Arabidopsis thaliana: one gene and its partners. The protein of the gene in region 2 interacts with the protein of the main gene of each other region in a pairwise test. Each region holds a gene or a part of one and is shown on either strand. Other genes may lie near its edges. The genes, in order: CIA2, MBD5, GTL1 and MYB65.

Region 1 (6,058 bases), on a different chromosome or scaffold from region 2:
TAGTGAGTGTTGGAATGCAATTAGGTGTCTCCACAAGGACATTTGCTAGGTCTACATTGATCTGAAAATCTTTGCCACTGAACTGATTACCAGAGACCAATTTGGTTTGATTTGATTTTCCTCTTGTTTCGTGCATAATAACTCTGTATATAAACCAAACGATATCTCTTGTATCATGTATACAAGTAATGAGCTCAACACATTCCTTGTGCAGAGAGTTCTGTTTTTGCCATTCCGTCAAGCCTTGTAAAATAACACTCGATTCTTGGTCAAAGATAAAATGGTATCTAGAAGAAGCTACCATTCAAAAATCATATAACACGTCCTAGAAGCTATTTTTGCCCTTAATTCAATATGCTTTTTCTCTATAATGTTTTTATTGGGAAAGGAAATTTGGCTCGGCAAAAACAGATATTGAGAGGTATCAATGATTTGTCACCGGTTTTGATGACTCAAAGAAGCAATGGGCAACGAAACAACAGGTGTACAAGGCTGCAACATAGTTTGAGCCATTGGGATTGGTGAATAATCCATGTCTTGTTTTTTGCTACTGTTGTTGTTGAGCCAAGTCTCTGACTTGCTTCTTGAGTCATTAAAATCTCAAGAGCTCTGTTTCTTCTATTAATAACAAAAACTTTTATTAGTTTTGATCCCTCACTTTCTCAATCAAATCTCCCCCTCATCAAAAAATCTAAATTATAAACCAAAAGGGACCATAACTTAAAAGAAACAAAAAAGGAGGGTGCCAAAATTTTAGAAACAAAAATAAAACAAGGAATAAACAAAAGATAAAAAAAAAAAGATAAGATAAATCTAGGCTCTTTTATCCTTGTTATCTTTGTCCACTTGGAGTGCTCTCATTGGGCCTTCTCACGAATCGTCCCTGTTCCCACATCCCATCACCAACCACAAAAAGAAAAGAAAACATTAATATTAGGTTCTTGTCTTAATCAAATCTAATGTATATATCCCTAGCCCTTGACCTCAATCTAACGTTATTAGTTAGTTTTGTTTCCTTTAGATGACAATTCTTAATATATTTAACCTTTGGTTTGGTTTTAAATCTTTTTGTTTGGCTTGTGGTACGTAGTTTCCTTTACTTGTTCGGTTTGGTTCATTTGGAATAAAGATACCCAAAAGAAAGCTTATTTCATCTTCTTGAAGAAAAAAAACGAATAGAAAAACTCAACAAGAGTTTTCTCATCTACTTTAAATCTGAAAACTAAAGCTAGTCTTATTATGCTGATTCAAAACAAATTTTGAAGGATGGTAAAAAAAACCTACATGTTTTTAACCACTGACTAAGATGGGTTAGATACCTTCATTCGAGGACGTTGATCAGCATTGAGTTTGCGAACTTGGTATCGAATTTTCTTCGAAAAAAGACGAGTTCGACGTTTCTCTTTGTACCTCAAAACACTTGCTTCTCGCATTCCACTGTCTCCGAACAAATCAATCTGAGCTAATCTAGCCTGCCCCAAAACACACACGCCACATTAGTTCATGTTCAACATTATTAATAACACAAAATACTAATCAATTGACAAAAATGAATTTCTAGTTAACTTATTTTGTAGACTACTAGACTTTATGCTAAAAGGAGTATTCGACGAAACGGATATCTACAAAATAAATTTTGAACCTCCTCATTTATCCTATACGTGAAAATTCACGTGCACAGTCTATAAAGTTTTCATTGGACAAATAAAAAGCAGCTTTTTTTTTTCTTAATTGATTGAAAGTCATCACAGAAAAAAATGTTATTTATAATAAAAAGAAGACTATGTACCAAAGTCAAAGGGTTAATAATTATTCTTCAAAATACGTTACAGGAAAAATTATTAATAAGAACTTTCCACAAAATTTAATAAATTCTTGTCAGATACTTCAAACTATATCATAGCTAATAAATTACTAATTCAGCATTAATGAGAACACACTCCTCAACAGCCACGTGGCAGAATACTAATGGCCAAAACAGAATCCCGAATAATTAATTATTTCAAACTAACCATTAACTAAAGAAAAATAAACATAGAAAATATCGAATTTTAACGGCGAGGGATTTGAGATTAAGAAGAGATTAGTGTTAAACATACATTGACATCGACAGCTTCCGATCCCTGAATCTCGTCGGGAAACGGCGACGTTTTATCAGACCAAGCTTCCAAAACGCCGTCGTAATCAAGCTTCAACAACGGACCTGTTCTCTTCAAACTCGTCTCCTCCGTATCTTCCAAGCTTTTCGATTCCGTAATCAATGTCGTCGTCACCGTCATTTTCTTCTTCTTCTTCTTCTTATTACTCTTCTCTCCAGAGATTACCACCTTCTTACCGTCGGATTTCTCCTCATCAACGGTGGAGATTGCAGTTTCGGTTTTGACAGTTTGAATTCGCGGCGAGATCTGTTCGAAATCAACGGTATGAATCTTCCACAATTTTGTGTCGTCGTTTTCTCTGAGAGCACTTCGTAATCCAAGCCCTAACGGGAAATTGAATCCGTTAGAGCTTCGATTCCATGAATTGATCATCATCATCTGTTCTAGTTTACCAATCCGATTAGAAGAACTTCTTCCACCGCGATTGATCATTCCCGGAACCCTAGATTCATAAATCCCCGAATTTGAATTCGATTCCACCACAGTCCCCATTATACTATCGATTCCTTCTTCAATATCCTCATCGAGAATCGATTCAGCATCGAATTCGTCGGAGAAATCAAACTTTTCGATTTCACCACCGTAGCAATCTCCACCGGAGTTAACTTCCTTCTGGTCTGAGAAAAACTCTGTTTTCGTTTGAATCGTTGGATGAAACAGAAAATCAGGTTCTTCGATTGATTCATAAGGAAGAAGCAAATCAGAAGCGTCGTCGTTGTCACTAAGCAATGGCCCGTAGAAGTGAGAGTTTGATGAAGAGTGAGTTTTTTGCTTAGAGGACAAGTTTGAGGAGAAGATGTTGGGATAAGCAGTAGAGAGAAGAGTAGCTGCTTCGTTGTAAGTCTGGTTTGGTCTTTTGCGTTGTGTTCTTGGCTTTCTCGTTGAGATTGCGAGTGGTGAATTTGATGATTCGGAGATTGTTGATGATGGTGAAGTAGCTCTTGTTGTTGTTGTTGAGGATGATGGTGGTGGTGATTTCACTTTTTCTAACTCGAAACTATATGCTGCTGCTCCTCCTCCTCCGCTGCTTAAACACGCCGACATTTTTTTTGTCCGGTGAAATCGGAAAAGAAACAAGACCAAAACTTTGAAGATTGTAAGAACTTTTGTGAGTGAGAAGAGAGTGATGAAATTAAGATTTTTGCCTTTTGATTAAAGAATTGTGTTTAATTTTAAGATAATAATAAACCCTTAAAACCCACTGAAGAAACCTTTTTTTATTTGGTGAGAAAATACAAAATTGAAGGGGGAAAAAAAGATCAAAACTTTAGGGAAAGAGGAAGATTCTGCTAACAAATGTTCATCATTTGAAAGAAAGAGCTAAGAAAACCCATTTGGAATCTGAGATTTATGTGTATGAAAACCAAAAGAATTGGCCAACGAGTGAGGTTTTACAGAAAGAAGCTAATTGGTTTGTGAAGAGGGAGAGAGAGATTGGAGGAGAAAGAAGAGTCACGAGATATATAAGAGGAGAAAGATTAGGGTTTTAGTGAGAGCTTAGTAACAAACAAAGGAGAGTTTAGTAAATAAATAGTGAAGAGCGTTTTTTTTTTTTTTGGTTTAGGGGTAATTTTAACTTTGAGAAGAGAAGTTGTGGAGAAACAGAGAGAGTGGTGGGAAGAAGAAGACGAGAGAGAGAGAGAGAGAGTGAGCGAATGGTGAAGAAGGGACAAGATAGCTCGTAATCGGCAATTCTGGAATGAATGGGGTCCACCAGTGGATTTTTTCACTTTTTGTATTGATTTAAAATTACTTTGTAAAACGAGTTTTCTTATGGATAGAGATACTTCCACGACTAAAGATTTCTATTCCATTTCAGAAATAGCCATTCAAAAGGTTTATAAGGTAAATTTTGTTACTGAAAACTCTTGGCTAATCTACAATGACTGGTGTTTGAATCAAAGTAAATTTCTCTATTTATTTTTTTGTTATAATGTTAATTAAGAAAAAAAGCTTTAAACAATGTTTGAGAGTTATTGAGAAATGATTTGGAGATTGAAAACAAAATAATGAAAAATCAATTGTTAAACCTATAATAAAGCGATATGATTGTGGCAACGATCGGTCATAATACGATTGAATTAAATTTGTTATGTGTTGATTTAACAAATTTATTTGTTCATTAACATTTACTCAAAATATAAAATATTAATTTTGTGACGATTTGGTAATAATGTAATGTAGCGACGATCGTTCATTCTTAAAGTTAAATTTTTATGTATTACATTAATATAACGACAGTAAGTCATTAATTCAAATTGAGTAAATCTTTTATGTATTGATTTATTGATATTATCCACTTGTTACACAATAATTTTTACCCAAAAATTTAAGATATTATTTTGCATATCGATCTTGTGGTGAGTAAGTAATATAACAGCGATCAGTCATTAATTTGAAAGGGGGATAAATATTTTGAGTGTGATTTATCGAAATTACTCATGATTGAAAAATATTAATCACATCATCGATTAAGTGGTAAGTAATGATGTAGCGCCGATCAATTGTCTAATCCAGCCTGTGGCAGTATTATATTAGTTGAGGTTGAGGATTTTTCTTCTTAGTTGATACCAAAAATCGAGTTCTACCATTCACAATATTTAATTTCAGCTCTTTAAACTAGTATAGAGTTAAACAAATTTATCCACTATTAGTTTTAGTTTCAATTTAGAGTCACCATATATTAGTTTAATTTTTGTTTCTATTAATTGCAGGTCCGGCTCTACACATGTGCCGGAGGAGCGAGGCACAGAGTCAACCCAAAATTTCTCTTTTTTTTGAAGTAAATCTAATACAATTACGATCCAAAAAAAAGATTTACATAACAAAACATAGGAAATGAGAACTAATTTTTTTTTCAGCTCTGGGTCCTTTATTATTTTGAGCCGACCCTGATTAATTGTAGCTAGAAGTGAAGCCATATATTGGTTTATATTTTAGTTTATGATATCTAGATTTTAAATAGAATTCGAAGTTATATTTTTTTACAGGTTTTGTAGAAGATTTTATTTAAAATTTGATATATATTTTTGATAATAGTAATAGTTTTAATAAGATTTCTCAGTTTTAATTTATTGATTTGGTTGTGATATCCGATTTCTGTTCTTCTTGAATAAAGTTTAACCAAGAAAAGATGCTCAAGAGTTTAATCCAGGTTGTTTAGTGAGTAATAGTCATTAATGATCCTTTTTGACTGGAGGGAAATGTGATTCTGTTTTTGGATTATTTTCTAAAAAGATGTAAAAACCACATCATCATCATCCAAATCTGCAAAATCTTTTTGGGATCTTAAAGAGAAAACGAGGAAAGGTCACCTTATCCATTGACGTGGCACATACCCATTGGCTCTACTAGATTTCTTTGATGACGTGGTGCTTTCTCAATTAACTGATTATGGTCGCCTGGTCGGAGACGTTTTCACGTGTTCTTAAAAAACCGACTTTATTATTTTACTAATTTCCCTTTATTAGTAAGATTTTTTTTTTTTTTCAAATTTACTAATTTAGCATATTTGGGAAAAAAATATTAGCATAAATTGATACTTTCTTATCTATATTTTAGATAATTTTTTGGATATATATATAGACATGATAATTGAAAATTTATTTCTTTCATTGACTTACTTTTTCAAGGTTAGTTTTATGTTAAACTTTCAAACGTTTCTGCAAAAGAAACATTAGAAAAGTAACGGCCGTAATATAATATCTATAGCTAATTGGCTATATTAGTAGAAGCAAGCTTACAAAATTGTCGTATTTACAATATAGTTATTAAATAATAATTAATTTAGTTTAAAAACAAAAGTGTGGAAAGAGAAAAGTGGTGGGCTAGTGGATTTGTGTATGTGAGAGAGAAAAAATGATTGGAACCTTTTTGGGATCATTTGAAGTAATTTGTGG
Region 2 (4,106 bases):
CGTTTGTGTTAAAGAGTGCGTAGTTTAACGTTTCAGGTCCGAAACCGAAATATGGATACGGGTTAACCATAAAAGGAGACTTGGTGCGGTTGTGGAAGTCTAGGATTGGAGAGAAGATGGCTTTGTCGTACCCTTTACGGAACTTTCCGGAGCTAGGTGGCTCGGAGGAGCCTGAGAGGATACCGAGCGAGTGAGGCGTCGAGACTAAGATCCTACTGACGTTAGCAAGGTGTAATGCTAACGTAAGCGTCTCCATAGCGGGAAGGAGATGAGTGATGAGGGTTTTGTCGGATGTGGCGACGACTTCGTTTCCGACAGCAATGTAACGGATTGAAGTTGTTAGGAGGAAGGGGAGGAGGTTGTCGGAGAGCCATGAACGTGCGTTGGAAAGCTTGGAAAGAGAAATGATATCGGAGTTTGGGACGGTGACGGTGAGGGAGATTCCTGTAATGCCGGAAAATGCGGCGAGGATGTCGTGGTTTGTGTCGAAGATTTTGACGTGGTTGATTATTGTTTTTGTTTTGATGAAGTTGACGACTTGGTGAGGCGGTGGGAGGTTGTTGGCCACGGTGCCGTAGTTTACGCCGACTTGATATGCAGCGGAGAAGGGAAGGATGAGAGTGAGAATTAGGAAGTAAAGTTGATGAACAACTCTAGATCCCAACATGATCGTGAATGAGTTTATTTTATGACTTCCACGTTTAGCAAAACTTACTAGGAGTTGTTTTTTGGGAGCATGATCGTGTTCGGTTTGATTGTGGAGACGTGAGCGAGTGGCTCCCAAAAAATCACTCACTCCTAGTAAGTTTTGCTAAACGTGGAAGTTTTGCTAAACGTGGAAGTTTTGCTACATAATGTAATAATCATAAATTAATAACATTTGATAATTGAAACCATTAATAAGGATGTAAATAGTTGCAAATTAATTGTATTTGGGGGTGATTGGGAAGGGACTCTCAGACCATCCTCATCGGACAAATTTAAAAGGTGTCTTCAAATTTTAACAGAATAAAAAAAATAGGAAGATGAGAATTAATGCGCTGAATAGGAGTGACATGATGACTTTAATGTCTGTGGAAAAACATTTTTTGATACGGGAAAACACGAATGTGTCACCATGCTATTGGTTGGTGTTATTGTTTTTTATTTTTTCTCTTCATTTGACCAACAATTTTCTCTCTGTTCATTTTATCAATAAATTTCTCTCTCTTCATTTGGCAGTTAAGACATCCAATATACTGATCACCGATGTGGATGCTCTCATAGCTTTAAAGGTGTTTTAAAGTCCTCACAGTTTTTATTTTAACAGTCATGCTTTCTTGACTTTATTTTTTTTTAAAGTTCTCAAAGCCTTGTTTTTATTTGTTCTTTGTTTCCTTTTTTTTTTTAAAGTCACGATTACATGGCTTTCAAACAAATAAATATTAAAACTTTTCTTTTTCTTCTCCCATGATAATTAAAAACTTTCTACAATTTTATATATATTTTTTCACAAATCATTTTTGATTAATTAATTATTATTAATTTTATATTTTCTTTTAAGATCCAATTTACTAATAAATAATTTATTTATTACATGTGCAGTTTATTTGTTGAGAATATTTATTTAAGAATATTTTTTGTATTTTAATTTTATATTATTAATAAAATATATTTGTGTCACTATGTTGAAACATAATTCAATTTTAACATAATTTTATTTACAAAAATATATTTAATAATAGTAAAAATAGTACTCAAGCTTTTACAACTTTATATTACCAATCAGAATTTAACATCTAAAATCTCAACAGTTAAGTCTCTACATCCAAATTTTCTATGGTAAAAGTTTTTAAAGCCAAAACATTTACCGTCATCCTTACCGATCGGCCCATAGTTGTTCAAATAATTTATATCAGTTACACACATTTCGATTTTGATTTCGGTTACAAATATTTTATCCACTCTAATTCACAACAAGAAATTAATTTACCTTAATGGGCCCAAAAGCCCAAAAACTGCAACGTGGCTAATTAAGCCATTCCTCGAGCTCAAACTTTAAAACAGAAACAAAACTTCTAACTTACAAATTGTACTTCTGTCTTTTACTCTGTCTGATTCAGTCAAAAAGAAAGGAATATTAAAATCTCTCAATTTTATATACACTCACTCAATCATACCTTTCTCTGGAGACCTCCACAGGGTTTGTTTCCGGAAATGTCGAACGGCACGGATCAGGCTCAACCACCACCGGAGAACCCGGCTACTCCGGTGGATTCGAAGTCACGGAAACGTGCGACGCCAGGGGATGATAATTGGCTTCCTCCTGATTGGAGAACCGAAATTAGGGTTCGAACCTCTGGCACTAAAGCTGGTACTGTTGATAAGGTGAAAAAATCTCAGCCCTTTCAATTCCTTCGCAGATAGAATCGTCCGTACAAATGGAAATGTTATGTTGTTTGTTGATTTGAATTGGAACTTTTTCTTAGTATTTATGAAATTGGGTATTGAAGTTAGGTTATGATGATCTTATTGGTTTATATTTTAAGGTATTTGGAGACTTTATAACTAGTCTTTAAGTGTAACGTTGCTGTATGTATGCTTGTTGGATGAAGATTGCTCTGTTTAGGATGTTGTAGGTGTGAATATGATAATGCAGTGCTTGATGATGTCTTGTATTTGTAATGTAGTTCTACTACGAACCGATTACGGGTCGTAAGTTCCGGTCCAAGAACGAGGTTTTGTACTATTTGGAACACGGGACGCCTAAAAAGAAGTCCGTCAAGACAGCGGAAAACGGAGACTCACATTCCGAAGTGAGTTTGTTAGTAGACATTACCTTAAGGTTTAAACCCGTGTTTTACCTGAACTGTTGTTGTTTTTGCACATTTTTGTAGCATTCTGAAGGTAGAGGAAGCGCTAGGCGGCAGACAAAATCCAACAAAAAGGTTACTGAGCCACCGCCAAAGCCGTTGAACTTCGATTTTCTGAATGTGCCGGAGAAGGTTACTTGGACTGGGATAAACGGTTCAGAAGAAGCTTGGTTGCCTTTCATTGGGGACTACAAGATTCAAGAATCTGTCAGCCAAGATTGGGACAGAGTATTCACTCTTGTCACCTCCCAAAACGCTGGAAAAACGATGTTCTAGAAGATTGCTGCAGAAACTCACAAATTGTAATAACACGCGCTGCTAGATTATCATATCTACTTAGTATTTACTGATCGTTGGTTGGAATGCAGGTTAATTTTTTAGTAGTGATAGTTTTAGTAACACTTTGATTTGAGTTGTAATGTACTTTCTTAACATTTTCTTAGATAATTTGAAGGCAATGTATGTCTATATTATTGCCTTTGAGAGAATCCGATAGTAACAAAGTTATGAAATCTAAAGTTCGATGTGCGGTACTTCTCTGCTCAGTTCTCTCTGCTTTAAATTGTGAATCATCAGTTATGCATAGGCTCTATCTATCTATGCTTCTCTGCCTTTGTCCTAAATGATATACGGAAGCATACTGACATAATTTGGAATAAGTTCAAGTTATAACAGAACAGTGTGAAAATATGAACCAAAGCGTCTGTAGTCCAACGGTTAGGATAATTGCCTTCCAAGCAATAGACCCGGGTTCGACTCCCGGCAGACGCATTTTTAAATTTTGACATTTTACGCTCGTTGTTTATGAACAGTAAATATTTTCTTTAGATCTTTGTTTAAGAATTTTTTTTCTTTCTAAAATGGCTAAGAACATTGTCGTCAAAGACTATAATTCTTTTCTGTCTTATGCAGTGGATAAAAAAGGGGTTCTTATCGCACTTTTCAGTTATCGTTTGTTTCCTATCAGAAAACAAAATGGGAAAAATTCTCCACCTCAAAATTCGAGGAATTCTAACGGCGTGGAGATGAATAATTACCAAAAGTAACATATACACCCCCGTCGAAAATAACGAGTTTTCAAAAAAGATATTTTCGGTTGATTTGTCGATAATCATCTGCACTACGCTGCGGTATATTTTCAGATTTTTTTATCGTTTAATTTAAATATAATTTTAATTATCTAATCATTCACTCATGTAATAAATAATTATTTTTATTATTAAAATATTTTTTTCAAACAACATTTTCAACAAT
Region 3 (6,056 bases), on a different chromosome or scaffold from region 2:
CTGCCACTGAAATTGTAGATATATTTGTGAGAGGAGGAATATGGATTTTACGTGGGTGTGAAAATTCATGGAATTACAAAAAAAAATATCGCTGGACCATTTTAACTATAAATTTGTTTTGTGACCCCGTCAAAATGATGTTGACTCGTTATCTTTGGTAAGTCCTCGTATGACACAAGTTGGGAAAGTAATGAGTTTGACAACTTGTTGTGTCCTAATAAGATTAGATTTATTGGTAGAGAGAGACGTTGCTTTTGTGTGTTTAAGATTAGTGTGTTAATCAAAGTCTTAATCAAAACTCCCTCATGAGATCTAGATCTCTTATGTAAAAAGAGAGATTCATTCAGTCAGAAATCAAGGAAGGAAACTCCGTGAGCATGTTCTTACCACCTCGTATAATTATATTCTTATTATACTTGTACTAATATTAAAGTTGTATAATTAGGAAAAAAAAGAACATATCACATGTAATAAGTAATAAATATAGTGAAAAAGGAGAGGCATGTGAAAGTGGGGGGAAGAAGAAGAGAAGACAGCTGTGTATCCGCCGCTCTCTCTCTTTCTTTCCCCTTCAAGAAAGTTCTCCACTTCCACCGCCCACCTTCTTCTTCTTCTTCACCTTCTTCTCTAACCATTATTATTAATTAGCATCTTTCATTTTGTTGTTAGAAGGAAATAGTTTGTTTTCCTTTTTTGTGTATAACTAGAAATGAGCGGTGTGTTTTTGTGTAGAGTGTGATTTGGTAATGAAAATGAGTTTTTTTTTTATTTTGTGTATGTTTGTGTAGGTGAGAGGTATTAAAGAGTTGTATAATGTGATAGTATGAGTGTCTGCATCGATGTCTTGAGTTTGCAACTAATTTTAGATATGAGGCTATTCAATTTTTGATTGATCACTTATGTCTATCTTCACCACAGCTTTACTATCTCAAAAAATGTACTTATTTTCATTATTTTTCACCTAATTGTTATAAGGTTTCTTTATTAGTTTGTTATCTTGTACTTTTGTCGAAAATTCTGGTTACCACCAATACATAAAATCATCATCTTGACTTTTGTTTTGATTCACATATATATGTGCAAAGGAAATTAACAGTTTCATTTTTAATTAAAAACCAAACGAGTTACTAAAAAAAAAAGCGATGTCAAGCTATCAACATTTAACTAAACGAATGTCTTATTTTTTGGAGAAAAAAATAAATTCAAAGAACATATCAAAGATCACTTGACGTCACGTTTGTTTATTTATGGGATTTTGCAGACCATGCATGTTCTTGATTCCAAATTATGCCAACATACAAGAATCACTTGTAAAATTGTAGCGTCCAAATGAGTCTAGCAACTTTGTTATCGTGACCAAGCCATCATATCAATTCATGTATGCTAAATTCGCTGCAAATTCAGTAAAAAGTATGTTTAAAATGACATAAACGAAATCTGTTATAGTGTTGGTAGTGAGTGGGTTTGGCTTTGGCTTCGCATAAACTAATGCATGGGTCAGGTTATCGATCCGACCTGCCAAGATAGTTCCGAGTTTAAAATTACATGGTTATGTTAATTAATTATGCACTATGTATGATTCATAAAATAATTTCACTGGCTTTGGACTTACTATTTTTTTCTTTTCTTGACATCACTAAAACACTATTGTTTGATATGTTTCTATAAATGTATTATTTACACAATAACAAAAAAAAAGAGAGAAAGAAACTGTTGAATTGGAGAGGAAAGAGAGTGGGGGGAAAGATGTCAAGGCTGGTCCAGCTCAAATCGGGTAAAAACTATTATCAAATTCCAATTCTGTCCCTCCCTTTCCCCAAAAATCTGATTGTCACATACCCTACCAATCAGACAACGCCACGTGGACACCTTAGACATGATGGTGGGAGAGGACAACAACATGGGAGGCACATGATTTTGTGTTTATTATATTTCTCCAAAACACAATTTTTACCCAAAAACAATTTAATCGGATCACTGAGCAATGAGATGTTTGCGGATCCAAATTTAACTTTTAAAGCCTTCCTTACTCTTTGCTTTATAACAATAATAATAATACACATAAAATTGGATTTAATTAAATAGATGTGGACCTTTTTTTCTAAATAATATAAAAGAAGGAAGAAAATAAAATAAATAAAGAAAAAGAGAGAGTGAAGAAAAGTGGGTTTAACAATAATTTGCTGCAAAGTTAGAAGAGGCTTCAGCTTTATTAACTTCTTGTTTGCTTTCATTCTCTTTCTCTCTATCTATCATCATCATCCTCGTAATCCTCTCCTTTCTCCTTCAGACCCCTCCTAGTTGCTGTTTAAACAAACAAAAAAAGACTGCTTCTCTTTCTTATTTCTCTCATCATCATCATCAATGGTTTTATGAGATTTATATCAAAAAACATTGAGGAGCTAGAGAGAAAGAGAGAGTGTGTGTGTAGAAAAAGATTGAAACATCATCAAGATTGATGGAGCAAGGAGGAGGTGGTGGTGGTAATGAAGTTGTGGAGGAAGCTTCACCTATTAGTTCAAGACCTCCTGCTAACAACTTAGAAGAGCTTATGAGATTCTCAGCCGCCGCGGATGACGGTGGATTAGGAGGTGGAGGTGGAGGAGGAGGAGGAGGAAGTGCTTCTTCTTCATCGGGAAATCGATGGCCGAGAGAAGAAACTTTAGCTCTTCTTCGGATCCGATCCGATATGGATTCTACTTTTCGTGATGCTACTCTCAAAGCTCCTCTTTGGGAACATGTTTCCAGGTCTCTCTTCCTCTCTTCTCTTCCATTTTCATCAATGGTGTTTCTTGATAGAGATCCATTTGCATGTGTTTTTTTTTTGTTAACTTTTTTTTTTTAGTGTTAGGTATATATAAATAGTAATATATTCGAGATCAAAGCATCTTCACCATCCCCAAGAAAAATTAAAAGAACTGTTTGTTTATTACAGAAGTTGGTTCATGAGTTTCTGGGACGTTTTCGATTTTGAAAATCCCAAGACTCTCTTTACTTCCAAAAAAAAAAAAAAAAAATCCGATCGAACAGTAACCATAAAAATTTTCCAGCTAATAACGACAACCAAAAATAAAATAAAACTAGAGAATCTGAATTATTTTCATGTTTTTGGAAACAGGAAGCTATTGGAGTTAGGTTACAAACGAAGTTCAAAGAAATGCAAAGAGAAATTCGAAAACGTTCAGAAATATTACAAACGTACTAAAGAAACTCGCGGTGGTCGTCATGATGGTAAAGCTTACAAGTTCTTCTCTCAGCTTGAAGCTCTCAACACTACTCCTCCTTCATCTTCCCTCGACGTTACTCCTCTCTCCGTCGCTAATCCCATTCTCATGCCTTCTTCTTCTTCTTCTCCATTTCCCGTATTCTCTCAACCGCAACCGCAAACGCAAACGCAACCGCCTCAAACGCATAATGTCTCTTTTACTCCTACTCCACCACCTCTTCCACTTCCTTCAATGGGTCCGATATTTACCGGTGTTACTTTCTCGTCTCATAGCTCATCGACGGCTTCAGGAATGGGGTCTGATGATGATGACGACGATATGGACGTTGATCAGGCTAACATTGCGGGTTCTAGTAGCCGAAAACGCAAACGTGGAAACCGCGGTGGAGGCGGTAAAATGATGGAATTGTTTGAAGGTTTGGTGAGACAAGTAATGCAAAAGCAAGCGGCTATGCAAAGGAGTTTCTTGGAAGCTCTTGAGAAGAGAGAGCAAGAACGTCTTGATCGTGAAGAAGCTTGGAAACGTCAAGAAATGGCTCGGTTAGCTCGAGAACACGAGGTCATGTCTCAAGAACGAGCCGCCTCTGCTTCTCGTGACGCCGCAATCATTTCATTGATTCAGAAAATTACTGGCCATACCATTCAGTTACCTCCTTCTTTGTCATCTCAACCGCCTCCACCGTATCAACCGCCACCCGCGGTCACTAAACGTGTGGCGGAACCACCATTATCAACAGCTCAATCTCAATCACAACAACCAATAATGGCGATTCCACAACAACAAATTCTTCCTCCTCCTCCTCCTTCTCATCCTCACGCTCATCAACCAGAACAGAAACAACAACAACAACCACAACAAGAGATGGTCATGAGCTCGGAACAATCATCATTACCATCATCATCAAGATGGCCAAAGGCAGAGATTCTAGCGCTTATAAACCTGAGAAGTGGAATGGAACCAAGGTACCAAGATAATGTACCTAAAGGACTTCTATGGGAAGAGATCTCAACTTCAATGAAGAGAATGGGATACAACAGAAACGCTAAGAGATGTAAAGAGAAATGGGAAAACATAAACAAATACTACAAGAAAGTTAAAGAAAGCAACAAGAAACGTCCTCAAGATGCTAAGACTTGTCCTTACTTTCACCGCCTCGATCTTCTTTACCGCAACAAAGTACTCGGTAGTGGCGGTGGTTCTAGCACTTCTGGTCTACCTCAAGACCAAAAACAGAGTCCGGTCACTGCGATGAAACCGCCACAAGAAGGACTTGTTAATGTTCAACAAACTCATGGGTCAGCTTCAACTGAGGAAGAAGAGCCTATAGAGGAAAGTCCACAAGGAACAGAAAAGGTACAAACTTTGCTTTTCCTTGTCAAAATGTGATTGGTTTAATGTTCTTTGATAACTGAAATATGATTTGTTGGAATTGAAGCCAGAAGACCTTGTGATGAGAGAGCTGATTCAACAACAACAGCAACTACAACAACAAGAATCAATGATAGGTGAGTATGAAAAGATTGAAGAGTCTCACAATTATAATAACATGGAGGAAGAGGAAGATCAGGAAATGGATGAGGAAGAACTAGACGAGGATGAGAAGTCCGCGGCTTTCGAGATTGCGTTTCAAAGCCCTGCAAACAGAGGAGGCAATGGCCATACGGAACCACCTTTCTTGACAATGGTTCAGTAAAATCAGAATCATTGTTTCAAGAAAATGTACTTATGTGTGCATAGTTTTCTAAACAAAACACCCAAAAACACAAAACACAAACACACACACACACACATCTGACACCACAAACTGAAATATCAAGGTCTCATCGATCTTCGATTTTTCAGTGAATACAATTCTTTTTCACATTCTTTCCCTTTTGTTCTTTTCTTTCTCACTGTCTCTTGTTTGTTTCTTCTTGTTCATTGTTTTCTTCTTCCAACCCCCACATGAACAAAAAACTCTAGCTAAAAGGTCTTTTAGATTATTTTGGAGTTGTAATTTCATCAGCAAGTCTCACACTTTTTTTTTTTCTCTTAAAACATTTGTTGATTGGTTAATTGGGGAATAAAGAGTCTTTATTTTATTTTTTCTTCCTTTAAGGTAAGAATTAGAATCATTTAGTTTATCAGACAAAGATAAACATATATGACTGATTATTACTACTATTTGAATTGATATATGACAAAGATTGGTTTATTCACTTTGCTTTTTTGACTGAGACTCAAAGCCATAAGTAATTGAGAGGAGAAGAAGAAGAGAGAATCTGTGTGTTTTTATGTTTAATCCTTTTTGCGGCGCCCACAAAAACAATCCGATAAGCCATTATTCATTTTTGGTGTCACTATCAATTAAACAGGGTCGCTCAAAGTTTTGTTCTTTTGTTTCAAACTTTATTTTTCTTACAATCAAAAGCATGTGCAGGCTTTTGTACTTACAACGACAAGACTCGTGCCACTCTCATGTTAACTCATTTTTCATCTCTCTGTTTTTTTTCTATAACTTTTTTCTTTACCTTCAAAAAAACTGTATCAAAAAGTAAAAAACTACTCGTGTAAATTTACAAAATAAAAATAATGGTTTGAGAATATAGAAAGATGGATTGAGACAGCATGATCACACCAAAAAAAAATAAAGAAGAAGAAGAAAAAGAAAAGATTCTGTATCTTTTTGATAGAGAGAGTAATAATGGAGGAAATGGGTACAGGTAAGAAAGAGTAAGTACCACTTTGATTGCCAACTTGCTTTCACCTCTTTGTGTCTTAACACAGCTGCCCCAACGTGCAATCATTTTATACATATAAAATGTATGTATCTAATTATACAAAAGATAT
Region 4 (5,742 bases), about 14 Mb from region 2:
TTTCACAGTTAGATAGTAGCACTCAGAAGAAACAACCATGGAGCAAGGAAGAGATTGATATGCTGAGAAAAGGAATGATAAAATATCCAAAGGGGACATCGCGGAGATGGGAAGTTATTTCAGAGTACATTGGTACAGGAAGATCTGTAGAGGAAATTCTGAAAGCAACTAAAACAGTTCTCCTGCAAAAACCAGATTCAGCTAAAGCATTCGATTCTTTCCTCGAGAAGAGGAAACCCTCTGCTTCAATCACATCCCCTCTCTCCACAAGAGAGGAGCTCGGAGAATCTCTACCCACAATGACGACCACAACAAATGCAAAGCCCTCTAAAGAGACTGTTGTGGGGAAAAGCTCGAGCAGTCAAAGCTCAGACAACAATGGTGAAGTAGGTGGAAGTTCAGACGCAGATAGTTGGTCGACTGTGCAAGAAAGAGCTTTGGTTCAAGCTTTAAAGACATTCCCGAAAGAGACAAGCCAAAGATGGGAGAGAGTAGCTGCAGCTGTCCCTGGTAAAACGATGAACCAATGCAAGAAGAAGTTTGCAGAGCTTAAGGAAATCATTAGAAACAAGAAAACCGGAGTATGAGGTAAAATCATTTCGGAGTCCCATGAGAATTTTGGGTTTTAATCCTCTTGGGGCACCGTTACTTTGCGAGAAGCAAGACCTAAAACTTTTTTATTATTTGTAATGATTCATTTCCCTTTGATGTCTCTATATATTGAGAGTGCTGGAGCCACTATTATGGAGTATGTTGTTTTTTACATAATCTTATGTAACGTTTGATTAGCGTCTAGTTTCAAGTTGTGAAATAAAGCGCATCGCTCATGCTGCTGTGTCTCCGGTCCCAATTAGAGGTTGGGCTACAATAAGCCCTAATTTTGATTTGCTTCTTTACAATCTAAACAAAACCAATCGAGCTAGTATGATGGAAGTAGCAGGAACAAGAAATGAGTATATATAAATGCCTTCCAAGTATAAGAAAAATCAGGTGAAGAAAATCCAAATTTTTACCAAGTCCACAAATCTTCTCTCAACTATAACAAACCACCAAGTCATGTAAGCCAGGTGCATGAAAATACAGAAAGATTCAAATTGTGTGATATGGTTCATTTTGTTACAGCGACCAAACAGGAGGCATATTGGTCCATCCATAAGACCCGACGCCTCGTGGTGCTTGACCTGATGATGACCCAACAGTCACGTAACTGTTCCCAATGTCGTCACCACCAAGAAGTGCAAGCGCATCACTCATGCTGCTTGTGTCACTAACAATGCCATAACAGCCTTGGTCAAGCCAGCTCGACGCAAGTAAAACATCAGGCCGTGTTATATCAACTCTCTTTGGTTCCCAAACCTGATCCAACTCTTCTGTCTTTACAACATTCCCTGCAAAAGCTTCATATACGAAAACCAACACAGCTGCATAAGAATCAATATGGAACAAGAGTAGATAAGATACCAATCAACAAGTAACTTTGATCAACTCACCTGATGAAAAACCACCTGCACTAAGTTGCGAGGGACTTGTAATCTCGGAGCGACCCAAATACTTTTGGGAATCTTCATATTCTCCTGATTTGATCAGGTTTTCGCTGCCACGTGGTACATTCTGAGTAACATTGGTCGTGCAAGTAGTTGAACTGAAACTCTTCTGGGGTGATGACATCAACAAACTGTGCTTCGCACTAGTTTTGATCTTGGCCTCATGAAGTAACATATCTAGTAGGCCGGTGTCGCATGAAGAGAAACAATCTGACTCCTCTACCTGCGATGGTGGTGGAGATTGAATATAGGCATCAACAGAGTCAAGGAGATCTGAGTGTGGAGGTGACGGAGTCGTCTTCCACTGATCAAATGCACTAGTTTCTGAATATTGGAATGAAGGGAGCTCCAGCTTCACTGCCCCAAACAAGGGCTTAGAAGTAGGATGCATGCCATACGTAACTGTATGGCTATCAGGAACCATCATCATATGAGACGAATGTTGGTTTTCATAAGGATGATGATCAACATCACAAGGCGAGATACTGCAAGATCTGGGATTCTTCTGTACAGCCGTATTCTGAAAGTGTTCCGGCGATTGGAATTCATGCTTTATGTTACTGCTGCACATGGGAAACCGAGATCCAGATTCCCAGATTTGCTTTGGGGAAGGCAATATTGGTGGCATGTAGCTCTCATACCGGGAAGAACTTGCGCCAGTTCCTAGCATGTTGCATGCAACCAAATCTGATAGGTCAGAAGCGGCAGGTAACAAGCTAGCAGCAAAATTTAGATCGTCAAATAAGACATTATCTTTAGAATTCCCCAACTGCAAGAAATCTTGATGTCTTCTTCTTCTATCTACTCTTATGATATTACTCTTTGTATACTCTTCGCTCCAATGAAGGTCATCAACATAGATTTCAGGAGGGTAAAGTGGTAAGCCTGCTCGTTGTCTCCTCTTGATACGAGTGTTCCAATAATTCTTTATCTCATTATCTGTTCGACCAGGTAACTGGTAAACAAGAAGAAAACATCATACCAGAGATTAATTAGTCTTTAGGCTCACAAAGAATATCAAAATATGAAAATGGACCATGATCAGGTAGCTTCCGCAGTTACAAAACTACTTACATGTTCAGCCATCTGTGCCCATTTATTTCCCATCTTGGCGTGCATTTCAACAATGAGCTGTTCTTCTTCTTGGCTAAATGCTCCTTTCTTCAAGTTTGGCCTCAGATGATTAGCCCATCTCAGACGACAGCTTTTACCACAACGGGCCAGGCTAGTGTGTTTCTGCACAGCATTCCAGTTACCCTCGCCGTGCTTCTTTACATAATCAATTAAAATCCCGTCTTCAGTTGAAGTCCATGGTCCTTTCTTCAGGACACTTCTTTTCCCTCTACTTCTGCAGCCATTGCTAATACTATCAGGAGCTGGTGATTCATTATGGATGCTGGAGTGCATACCATCATCACTATCAGCAGTCGCCGTCGTGTAACTCATCTCTTTCTACTTAAAGCAAGACAGACTCCAGCAGTTCAATAACAATTTAGACATCAAGCTCCAACCTGAACCAATTAAGAGGAAAAAGAGACAAATTAATATTTCAGCCAGCATTCATGTAGTTATCAACAAAATAATGACATGATAAACTTGTAAAAGGAGGCGATAATTGAAAAATATGTCTAGTAGATTCATCATATCTACCGCTGAGATATGAGTTGATACTAGGCAACAACTAAAAGTCTGTAATGAAATTTCTACAGAACACTAGTGACACCATTTTGACGAATAGATTTCGTATTTGAATGAAAATCCAGAAATGGAAACCAGAAACTAGCTAAGCACCATTTTATAGCTCTGATACTTTGAAATGACTTCTGTATCAAATTCGCAATCTCTAAATCTTAGTTCCAATTTCGAATACTAATAAATCGATTTTCAATGAACCAGAAATTACGATTGAACAATCAAAATCCATATATACAAGAATCAAAAAGCAGCAACTAAAGGTACAACAAAGACGAACCCTAGCTGAGGTAAAAGTAAGCTCTATATTGAGTATCTAGCAATCTGAATACAATCAGCAAACCATAGACAAATACGAAGTCGTCGAGATCTACAACATGAGACGAAATCGGAGCTCGAGTTTGAGCTGAAGATATCCGATTTGGTTATCGGAAAACACACAAATCGTAAATTTGAATCGGAAAAACGTTAGCTAAAAATATCAAGCTCAACAACTGATTAGAGAGAATGAAAACAGAGATTGAAGATCAGAGATCCGTGGAAATGGATTCAAGAGCTAGTAACGGAAGAACAATCTAGAAGAAGAAGAAGAAGAAAATATTACCAGGAGTGGGAGAGAGATAACGCGGGAAAAAGCTCGAGAGAAGATATCTCAGAGAATCGACAGAGACAAGGATGGAGAAAGAGATCAAAGTAACAGAGGAAGAAGATTCATCAGAGCTGAACAGAAGTGGAAAAAAGAGATGAATTTAGAAATAAACATCAAAATATTAAAACTCTCCTCACTTAATTAATTATTTTGCTTTTTATTTCCGCGTTATAAATAAATTATAGAATAAAAAAAACACTAAGAATCCAATATCTTTATTAGAAAATCAATTAACTCAAAAAAAATCCCGTATCTTTTTTATCAATTTTAAAATTTTATAAAATTCAAAGATTTTAGGTTTAAAAATAATAATCGTAATATTAATATTTACGAAATGTATCATTTAAAAATAATTATGGATAAAGGTTTGGTATAATCGTATACGTCTTGATAAAAAGGAACCCACCAAACATAAATTGGAATGTTGTACTTTAATTTAATGATGTATAAATGAGCTTATTGACGTAGATACGTTGAGATTACGAGAATCCGCACTCATATTAACTACTGTACTAGTGTCATTCATTCTTTGTCAACTAATAGATTATGACAGTGATTCTCTAGCTAATCAGACGATTGGCTTGAATCTGTTTCATGTCACAGCTTCTTCACTATATAATATACATAGTAAATATTTGTTGTCAGAAGTATATAATGATGAATAATTTGGTTCTTATTAAATTATAAAAAATAAAAATTGGTTCTTTTTTTTTTTTTTTTCCTTGGGCTAAAAGCCTAAAACCCAAAGATTTTTAACTCAAATTGAGGAACTGCTATAGTAGGATCCACATGTGCCCATATTGATTTCGGCATCGAAGAAAAACAAAAAATTGGGCTTTAAAAGTGGATCTTCATCATCCATGAAGGTGGTATATCAATTCATCTACCGACATTTGTATTACAAAATATTATTGAGATAGTAGTAACCAATATGTTAAAATTCAACCATAGCACTGTTTTCCATCTAGTTAACAATTAGCTAAAGCCTTTGAGGAAAGAGGAAGGTGAGCGAGCGCGTGGACCTCGTGATCCTGAATAGCTCACGTATTGTTTGTGGCCTGAATTCTGGTTATGTACATAAATAATGTTGTATGAAGATAAGTACAGGCCTGACGCAAGCCCGACAATACAAGAAAAATGATAAAAGAGAAAGATGATAAAAATGCTAATGTACCATATATATGATCCATTGCACCAAACCCACAAAGATAAAAAGGTGCTTTCGGCTTTTTGGCTTATGTTTTGAGACTCTAGAAATAAATATATTCTACTAATAAGTGTGGTAATGTATTGTTCAACATATATCTTTCAACGCTGCCGAATTTGAATTCGAATTATGTTTATTTATAGTCTTATAGAAACTATTTGATTCAATCAATTAGAATACAAATAATTGGTTTTTAAAAAGAAGTTACATAAAGTATGTGAAGAAAGGGATGGAGGGAATAATAATATAGAAATATGGAAAGCAGTGTAACTTGGTAAACGTACGAGGAACGTAAAGAGATCAGTTCCACTTCTCCGTGTCTCACGCTTGTCTCTTCCCTCTCTACCTTTTCTCTATTTCGTTTCACACCTTTTATTTCATCTTAAAACTTGCTCACTAGTAAAAGAAATTCTGACGATTTTCAGCAAACCATTACTGATGATTAGTGTTTGATCTTTAAATTCGCTGACTAAATAGTTGGAAATTTATTTGACGGTATAACTAAAAATTATCTAACCAAATCAAATATTTAAAATCCACCATATAGAGTAACGAACTTCGACAAACTTAATACATTTCGATGGATTCTTTAGCATGAGTGATCTGGTAATTTGATATCATAGTTGATGGCTTGAACACAAGATAAAACG

What was found.
Region 1: the proteins of MBD5 (region 2) and CIA2 interact in a two-hybrid assay, tested with the Arabidopsis thaliana proteins (one large-scale study listed by BioGRID).
Region 3: the proteins of MBD5 (region 2) and GTL1 interact in a two-hybrid assay, tested with the Arabidopsis thaliana proteins (one large-scale study listed by BioGRID).
Region 4: the proteins of MBD5 (region 2) and MYB65 interact in a two-hybrid assay, tested with the Arabidopsis thaliana proteins (one large-scale study listed by BioGRID).

What each region holds. Positions count from the first base shown.
Region 1 is NC_003076.8:23,165,538-23,171,595, reverse strand, and holds CIA2 (chloroplast import apparatus 2), read right to left. Parts: upstream 3,823-6,058; 5' UTR 3,204-3,822; coding exon 2,100-3,203; coding exon of another isoform or gene 2,073-2,099; exon of another isoform or gene 1,473-2,072; coding exon 1,320-1,472; coding exon of another isoform or gene 1,302-1,319; exon of another isoform or gene 884-1,301; coding exon 833-883; 3' UTR 571-832; downstream 1-570. Other genes in the region: PSD2 (phosphatidylserine decarboxylase 2), read left to right, coding at 1-65. UniProt on the Arabidopsis thaliana protein: Responsible for specific up-regulation of the translocon genes TOC33 and TOC75 in leaves. Involved in the general chloroplast protein import pathway regulation, including protein import and protein translation efficiencies.
Region 2 is NC_003074.8:17,146,201-17,150,306, forward strand, and holds MBD5 (methyl-CPG-binding domain protein 5), read left to right. Parts: upstream 1-2,031; 5' UTR 2,032-2,196; coding exon 2,197-2,367; intron 2,368-2,669; coding exon 2,670-2,795; intron 2,796-2,876; coding exon 2,877-3,128; 3' UTR 3,129-3,397; downstream 3,398-4,106. Other genes in the region: AT3G46570 (Glycosyl hydrolase superfamily protein), read right to left, coding at 1-667. UniProt on the Arabidopsis thaliana protein: Transcriptional regulator that binds CpG islands in promoters where the DNA is methylated at position 5 of cytosine within CpG dinucleotides. In addition, binds specifically methylated m(5)CpNpN but not m(5)CpNpG (N is A, T or C).
Region 3 is NC_003070.9:12,050,723-12,056,778, reverse strand, and holds GTL1 (GT-2-like 1), read left to right. Parts: upstream 1-2,025; 5' UTR 2,026-2,458; coding exon 2,459-2,748; intron 2,749-2,843; exon of another isoform or gene 2,844-2,945; coding exon of another isoform or gene 2,946-3,118; coding exon 3,119-4,580; coding exon of another isoform or gene 4,581-4,613; exon of another isoform or gene 4,614-4,662; coding exon 4,663-4,920; 3' UTR 4,921-5,402; downstream 5,403-6,056. UniProt on the Arabidopsis thaliana protein: Transcription repressor that binds specific DNA sequence such as GT3 box 5'-GGTAAA-3' in the SDD1 promoter. Negative regulator of water use efficiency (WUE) via the promotion of stomatal density and distribution by the transcription repression of SDD1.
Region 4 is NC_003074.8:3,600,304-3,606,045, reverse strand, and holds MYB65 (myb domain protein 65), read right to left. Parts: upstream 4,011-5,742; 5' UTR 3,841-4,010; intron 3,698-3,840; exon of another isoform or gene 3,517-3,697; intron 3,163-3,516; exon of another isoform or gene 3,056-3,162; 5' UTR 2,991-3,055; coding exon 2,619-2,990; intron 2,500-2,618; coding exon 1,491-2,499; coding exon of another isoform or gene 1,465-1,490; exon of another isoform or gene 1,398-1,464; coding exon 1,117-1,397; 3' UTR 874-1,116; downstream 1-873. Other genes in the region: AT3G11450 (DnaJ and Myb-like DNA-binding domain-containing protein), read left to right, coding at 1-587. UniProt on the Arabidopsis thaliana protein: Transcriptional activator of alpha-amylase expression that binds to 5'-CAACTGTC-3' motif in target gene promoter. In vegetative tissues, inhibits growth by reducing cell proliferation. Promotes the expression of aleurone-related genes (e.g.